Linked DNA regions of Oryctolagus cuniculus. The protein of the gene in region 1 interacts with the protein of each later gene in a pairwise test. Links are inferred from orthologs where the notes say so. Each region holds a gene or a part of one and is shown on either strand. Other genes may lie near its edges.

What was found.
Region 2: the proteins of HOMEZ (region 1) and DNTTIP1 interact in binary tests that used the Homo sapiens proteins (3 or more experiments, as listed by UniProt). The two-hybrid records come from large-scale screens. The link is inferred for Oryctolagus cuniculus from reciprocal best matches to the Homo sapiens genes HOMEZ and DNTTIP1.

What each region holds. Positions count from the first base shown.
Region 1 is NC_091443.1:51,744,241-51,748,149, forward strand, and holds the start of HOMEZ (homeobox and leucine zipper protein Homez), read left to right. Parts: upstream 1-1,432; 5' UTR 1,433-1,467; coding exon 1,468-1,582; intron 1,583-3,909. UniProt on the Homo sapiens protein: May function as a transcriptional regulator.
Region 2 is NC_091442.1:13,602,092-13,606,000, forward strand, and holds the start of DNTTIP1 (deoxynucleotidyltransferase terminal-interacting protein 1), read right to left. Parts: upstream 2,279-3,909; 5' UTR 2,209-2,278; coding exon 2,104-2,208; intron 1,589-2,103; coding exon 1,518-1,588; intron 1,088-1,517; coding exon 991-1,087; intron 1-990. UniProt on the Homo sapiens protein: Increases DNTT terminal deoxynucleotidyltransferase activity (in vitro). Also acts as a transcriptional regulator, binding to the consensus sequence 5'-GNTGCATG-3' following an AT-tract.

The DNA.
Region 1 (3,909 bases):
TCCTTCTTTCTTTCTCTCTTTCTCTTTCTTTCCTTCTCTCTCTCTTTCCTTCTCTCTCTCTTTCTTTCTCTTTCTCTTTCTTTCTCTCTCTCTCTTTCCTTCTTTCCTTCTTTCTTTCCTTCCTTCCTTCCTTCCTTCCTTCCTTCCTTCCTTCCTTCCTTCCTTCTCCTTCCTTCCTTCCTTCCTTCCTTCCTTCCTTCCTTCCTTCCTTCCTTCCTTGAGAGACAGCTCCTGTCCATTGGTTCACTCCTCAAATCTCCACAATAGCCAAGGTTGGCCCAGGCTGAAGCCAGGAACTGAGAACCTAATCCAGGTCTCCCACATGGAGGGTGAGGACCTAGCTACTTGAGCCATCCACTGCTGTTTCCCACAGTGCTCATTAGCTGGAATCTGGAGCAAAGCCAGGACCTGAACCTAGCACTCCAGTATGGGATGTGGTCGTCCCAAGCAGCGTCGACCACTAAGACAAATGCTAGCCTGGTCATTTCCTAAAAGTCCTGCTCCGGGGCTGCTGGCATATCGCAGCAGGTTAATCTACTGCCTGTGATGCCATCATCCCCTATGAGCACCAGTCTGAGTCCCGCCTACTCCACTTCTAATCCAGGTCCCTGCTAATACACCTGGGAAAGCAGCCAAAGATGGCCCAAATGTTTGGGTCTGTGCCACCCCCATGGAAGACTTGGATGGAGTTCCAGATTCCTGTCTAGTCTGGGCCAGCCCAGGCCATTGAAGCCATTTGGAGAGTGAACCAGCAGATGGAAGATCTCTCTCTCTTTTTTTTCTCTTCTCTGTGTAACTCTGCTTTTCAAATAAATAAATCTTAAAAAGTCCTATTCCTTTTCTGCTGGAGTCCTCTGGCTGTTTGGAAGTTGCATGGAAGAAGACCACGGGAGAGATGGGCAGCCATGGTTTAAGACACCACAACAGGATCCCTCCACCCTTTTGGGTAGTGGGAGCATAGTCAGGGCCTGGCTCTTCAGTTCCCTGGCACCCAGCACCAGCTGTTGGTGTTGTTAAAGGAACAGTCTGGGAAAACTGTTTCTGCTTTTCACAGGGGATTCTTCCTCTTTTAGGGGGTCATCTCGTTACTTTCTGCTCTTGAGTAGTGGAGGGAAGAACAATGCCCTTCCCTAATAAGGGGTTACCCTAAAACAAAGGGTAAGACAGCTAACGGAGGGGAAAGGAAGGCAAGACCTCTGTGGAATCCAGAATGGAGGGATAGAAATAGATAACAGAGGGAGTCCTTGAAAGAGCAAGTTCTCACAGGATTGGCTCCCACATCACCTGAGTGATGAGAGAATCCAATTACCACAAAGTAATGAGGTGACAGCATTCCTAGGAGGCAAGCCCCAAGCACGGAATGCCTGATAGCTCCTCCTTACATCACAAAGGCCGACCTGTGACGTCATCGCTGCCCAGCCCACCGCTCTTCAGTGTGCTCTAAGAGTGCTGAAGGGCAGGGTCAGCATGAGGAGCAAACACCCACGGAGAGGTAAGGCGGGGCTTTCCAGGGCTTCTCTCCACGGCTTCCTGCCTGGAGTCGGAGCCCCAAGCCCTGCACAGACTCCTCACGTCTTCTGGGGTAGGTTTGAGCTCCTCCTGCCACAAACTCCTTCCGCGTTAACTTTCGCTCTCCCAACTCTGTCTCCAAGCCTCAGTACTCGCAGGTCTGAGTAGTCGGCCGCCTCACTGCCTGCGGCTCTGGTCTTTCTAGGAGACAGGGCACGAGCACTGGAGCAGAGTTCCCCTAAGGAGGCAGAGACTCACCATGGCCATCTGGTAGTCCTAGGCTGGAGCCAGGCTTCTGGGTACCTGAAGTATGCAACTTTTGGAGCCCCTTTAAGAAAATTAAATACAAAATTATGATATTTTCAGAATGACAAATTACAATTTTTTAAAAAGCTGCCAAATATCTGCCTAAAATTATTCATATTTCCACTTTTTTTGCCAACAGCCTTTGATAGCCTTTTCGTATAATGATTGTATGTTTTCTATGAGTCTTCTAACATGATCACTTTTGTATTGTTAATTTTAAAAAATTTTGCCCCCATGCCTTGTGATACTTTCATAAATGTTTAGAATTTTTGTCAAACTTGGTAAAACCACTATAAAATTTTGGAGCTTTTCGAATTTGTAATGGCTAATGTCATATATTCTGAATTGATAGTATCAAGAATAATGGGAACTAGCCGGCGCCGCAGCTCACTAGGCTAATCCTCCGCCTGTGGCACCGGCACACTGGGTTCTAGTCCTGGTCAGGGCGCCGGATTCTGTCCCGGTTGCCCCTCTTCCAGGCCAGCTCTCTGCTGTGGCCAGGGAGTGCAATGGAGGATGGCCCAAGTGCTTGGGCCCTGCACCCCATGGGAGACCAGGAGAAGCACCTGGCTCCTGGCTTTGGATCAGCGTGGTGCGCCGGCCGCAGCGGCCACTGGAGGGTGAACCAACGGCAAAAGGAAGACCTTTCTCTCTGTCTCTCTCTCACTGTCCACTCTGCCTGTCAAAAAAAAAAAAAAAAAAAAAAAGAATAATGGGAACTATAAATATTAGTTTGGGGGCAGGCACATTTGTAGCACAGTGCTTAGGATGCTGCTTGGGGCACCTGCAACTTGTATGGGAGTGCTTGGTTCAAGTCCTGACTCTGCTTCCAATACAACTTCTCACTGATGCACACTCTGGGTAGCAGCAGTGGTGGTTCAGGTGCTTGGATCCTTGCCACCCACATGGGAAACCTGGATTGAGTTCTGTGCTCCTGGTCTCAGCTTGATCTCTGCCTTTCAAATAAAAAATGGAAATAAACATACAGGCAGGCATTTGGCTCAGAAGTTAAGTCAGCAGCCGAGACACTCCCGTCTTGCATCAGAGTGCTTGTTTGGAGTCCCAGCTCCTCTAGGCTCCTCCATCCCTGATCCAGCTTCCTGCTAATGCACACACTAGGAGGCAGCGGGTGATGGCTCAAGTCCTTGGTTGCCTGCCAGCCTAGATTGAGTTCTGGGCTCCCGGCTTTGGCCTAGCCCAGTGCTGGCTATTGAGGCATTTCAGGAGTGTTCCAGCAGAGGGAAGATCTCTCTTTCTGACTTTCAAATAAAATGGCAGTAAATACACATTTTTAAAACATATAAGTAATTTAATTTTTCAGGGCTGCCATACAAAAATAGCAGAGACTGGGTGTGTGCTAAATTTGTTTTCTCAGTCCTGGAGACTAGAGGTCCAAGACAAGGGCACTGGCTGAGCTGACTGCATCCTGAGGCTTCTGTCCTTGATTGTAGAAGGCTGTCTGCTCATGGTCTTCCCTCTGCCTGTGCATCACAAGTCTGTGCCCAGATTTCCTCGTGGAAGGTCAGCAGTCACACTGTGTTAGGACCCACCCTAATTCATCCATCTCAGCTGAACTTAATCACCTCGAGAAACAACCTAACTCCACACGAAGCTACGTTCTGAGGTACTGGGGGACAGGACATTAACCCTAAGTTTGGGAGGACACAGTTTAATCCATAACACTGTATCCACCTGGGGATAATTGATTCTATTCACAGAAGTAACTGCAAAACCCATCAAGTATACCTACTAACCCCACAGTACACGTGATCCCTCCTCAGCTCCCTCAGCCAGTCTCCAAGTGCCCATCACCTCTCTGTGGACACCTGAGAAAGGGACATGTGACAGAGGTCAAGTCAAGAAGGAGATACCAGTCAATTCCAGTTTGGGGTGTTTTTTTTTTCCCCAAGTTTTAGAAAAACCTGTGACGATGTTGGCGTGTTGCTGCAGCTCCTCCAGTGGTGAAGGTCTGTGACAGGGAGGACGCTGCACCTGCAGGGCCTCCAGCTGTAGGGCGAGCGTGCCTCTGGTCAGCCCTGCTAATGTCTGAGCCGTGCAAAGGGCAGATGACAGGCATCACATTCTCCAGTGTTA
Region 2 (3,909 bases), on another chromosome or scaffold:
AAGAAAAATGAGTGTGGTAAGAAGGCATCTTCACAGACGCTATCAGAAGGAGCTCATGGCCACAGACTGTGTTTACCCAGCGTTTGTGCAGGAGAGAAACACTGAATCAGCAAATCCACCACAGGGAAGCGGCCTGCAGTGAAGTATGGCCTACCCTTCTCTCGTGGCTTCCCTTTTACATTTCTAGGTCTGTAAAGGTGTGGGGGTGTGGGACATGCCCAGGGCATGGGGACCCACGTGGGGAAAGGTGGCTATTTCATCACAGTGGCCACATACGCCAAGGGAAGGGATCTGGATTTCCCAGCAGGAGGGGCGCCTCTCTGGTCACCAGTCACTCTCCTTGCACAGCGGGCTGCAGTCACACCGGCCAGTTCCTTCCTCCCTGTGGCCGGACTCTTACCTCCCACACATTTGCCAGGCTTGCTCTTCCCTCACGCTCTCTGGGTCTTCACACAAAGCCCCCTCTCGGAGGGCCTTCCCAACCCCTCTTCTCTCATTCCCTCGTGTCACACACACACACTTGTTTACAAAGGGCGAGCACAGTGTCTGCTTTCTTACAGCTACAGTGCTAATGCCGAGGACGGCACGTGCAGCACGGCGGCCGCTCGGTAAATGCTTCTTGAATACATGACTACACAGAAGAGGAGGCTTCGAAAGAAAGAGTTTAGTTCTGAATGTGCTAAGTTTGAAGCACCCATGGGACACTCAGGCAGAGCTATGTAGTGGCCAAGGAAATAATTTTAAATGATAACGATGTTAATATCAAGTAATAAAAACAGTGGTTATTTTCCAAACATGGTGCTAAGCATATTACACTTAAGCAAAAAAAAAAAAAAAAAAAAAAAGGCAAAAAAAGCATTCTAGGGGCACAGGGTGAGGGCGAGGGAGACATAGAGAGAGACACAGAGACAGAGAGACACCAGTGCGGCAGGGAAGGGCGAGGCTGCCCAGGACTCTCCCTGTCAGTTTCGCACCCTCCTGTCTCCTCACCTTCATGTACTTGTTGAAGACCGTCTGGATCTCCTCATTGATGCTCGGCTGCAAGACAGCCCGGAGGAGATCCATGGAGATGGCCGGGTCTGTGAAACTGCCGGGAGGGAGGGAGGGAGGCGGTCAGGGGGCTCAGGGGGCGGCACCATCTCCCTTCCCTGACACAGACACTGCTCCTAGCTCCCTGGGACCGCTGAACAAACAGGCTCAGGGAGGCAAGGCGGCCTGTCCAAGTCACCCAGCTAATACAGGTCGGGTTGTCCGACTCGGGGCCTGGGATGCCAACCTCGAGGCTCTGCGACCTCTTTGGCGCCCTCCACCCCGGAGCCAGGGAATGTTAGGGATTTCGGGTGCCGTTCCCCCCACCCCCCCACTTTGCAGAAGAGTTCAGCTCAAGGTCACGGCCACAGCGCCCACAGCGCCTCCTTCCCCCGACTGCAGATCTCTTCTCAGGCTTGTGCGGTGGGGGTCCCACAGCATCGGTCCAAGCCAGCCCTGGGACCGGTTCCAGCCAGGGCCGGCCTTACCTTGTTGTCATCTGAGAGCGGCGGCCCCTTCGCTGCACTTGACGGTGCTTTATCATAATGTTCCAAGGGTTCTGCGGGGACCAAGCGAGGGAGCAAACGTCACTGAAGCCGGTGACACTGACGCGGCGTGGAGGGGGAGGTGCGTGCGAGGATTAGCCTGGACCCCGCTGCACCTCGGCTGCTCTCTCCAAGTCTCCCACCGGGTGGACAGGCCCTGCCCGGGAAGAGGGCCTGAGGAAGTTTCCTGTCCCAAACGTCCCAGGTCCGCCTTTCCTGGAACGGCTCAAGGCAACTCGGGTGCCGGGAGCTTTACCTGCATCTGTCACCCCACCCCGACAACTTCGAAGGGACAGGCACCATTCCTCTCCATTTTATGTTAGAGCAGCCTAGAGGGGGGTGCCAGGACCGGCCCACGTCACCTCGCCGGGAGGGCGGCACCAGAATTTGAACCCAGGTCGTGGGACTGCGAAAACGCCAACCCCCTCGGGCAGCACCAGCCGCCGCGTTCTCTCGCCCGCGGGCCAGGGTCCCGGGAGCCCGAGGCCCCCGCCGGCCCGAGCTCAGGCCTCAGCGGGGGCGTCCTCACCGTGAGAACCAGCTGCCCAGCTGCGCTCGCATCCCCCGGCTCCGGGCCGCCCCGCTCTGTCCCGCTGGGTCCCCGCGGCTGCTCGGCGTCGCCAGTGGCCCCCATGGCGCCCCCGGCCACCACAACTTCTGCCCGACTCTGCCACCGGCCGGAAAGTGGCTCTGTGACGTCACTGGAGCGCGCCGCTCGCCGGCCCGGAAGCTCGCCGCGGAGCGCCGCGGCGTTGCCAGGGGAACCGCGCCGCCGTCTCTCGCCTCAGTCTCCGGTCGCACCATGGGGTAGCACCAAGTGCGCGAGTCTTTGCGGTTAACAAGAAATGGGTTGAAATCCGTTATGATATGGTGGTTAGGGCATTGGCTGTGGAATTGGATCGCCTGCCTTTGTTCCTCCCTCTTAGGAGCTGTGGGATTCGCGGGCCTCAGTTTCCCCGGCCGTAAGATGGGGTTAATAGCACCTAGTTTATAGCGTCGCGGTGAGAATTAAGTGAGTTGATTCATGTTAAGCCCGCCAAAGTCTGGCACGGGTAAACCCCCAAACGGTGCCATCTGTCGTTCCCGTAGGAAATTCTAGCGGCCATACACCGCCTTTGGCCATTTTTTTCTCAGCCCCTCGGAATCGGTTTTGCAAGAGTATAGTGAGGATTGAAGTAGATCATAGATGTTGTGCTCAGATAAGTAGATCCCCAAGAAGCTATCAGCGACCCCATCACACCGACCTGCAAAAGCAAGGTTTATTTTAAAAGTACAAGCCCGGCAGGGGCCTTATCTGACCAGCGGAGGTCAGAGGAAGGCCCAGGTCTTTGTTCGGGACGCTTTTAAAGGGAAGATACGTCAGGGTGCCGGGCCTTTTGTGATTGGGCAGGGCAGTTCCCGGTTGCTCTTAGTCGGAGGGGCGTGTCTCTGTTTGGCTTGGGTGCAGGGAGTTACCTCATTTGGCACTCTCTACTGAGCTGCCCTTGGTCTGCTGAGCTGTCCTTGGTAAGCTTTGATGTCTCCAGAATGCCTGAATGCCTGCTTTTACAAAGGACTCGGGTCTGCTACGGGAAACAGAGGCTGCTTTTTATTTACGTTTTTAAATGGAGCCACTTTGGCTCTTCAGTAGATATATGTATGTGTGCAGCAATTCGAGTATTAGGTGATCAACATGTGGCACTTACCGCCGCGCTCTGACACCAGCTGCTAACTCGGAGGCAAACTTCCTGGCACTGTCAAGGAGGTTTGTGCCTTGTGCCTGGTGTCTGCCGCTCTGTCAGTTCCCAGGGCTAAGCAGTGCCAGCGGACAGAGGGAAGAGCAGGACAAAGGAAAATGGACAGAGACAGAGGAAGAAGAGATAAAAGGGGCGTCTGTGGACCGACCACACTGTTGGAGTCACGGAGTCTGCTCTCTCGGACTCTGCCGGCCAGCCTTCCTACCTATCCCGGCCTATGTGGGATACAGAGACCCAGACACAGGTTTTTGGTGCATTTGTATTGGTGCATTTTGTATTGAAAACACCCAAATACTGATTTTTCATAGTTTTTAAGTGATTTTTTTAGAAAAGATTTATTTGAAAGGCAGAGTTAGAGAGAGAGAGAGAGAGAATGAATCTTCCATCTGCTAGTTTGCTCTTCAAGTAGCCGCAACGGTCCTGGCTGGGCCAGGCTGAAGCCAGGAGCCTGGAGTTCCATCTGGCTCTCCCACGTGGGCGGCAGGAGCCCAGGCCCTTGAGCCATTCCCATTCTGGCTTTTCTAGGTTGTTAGATGAACGGGGCACCATGTTGCTACACTTGGCCAGTTTTCTTAGTGTTGGTAATTTTCTTGTGAAGT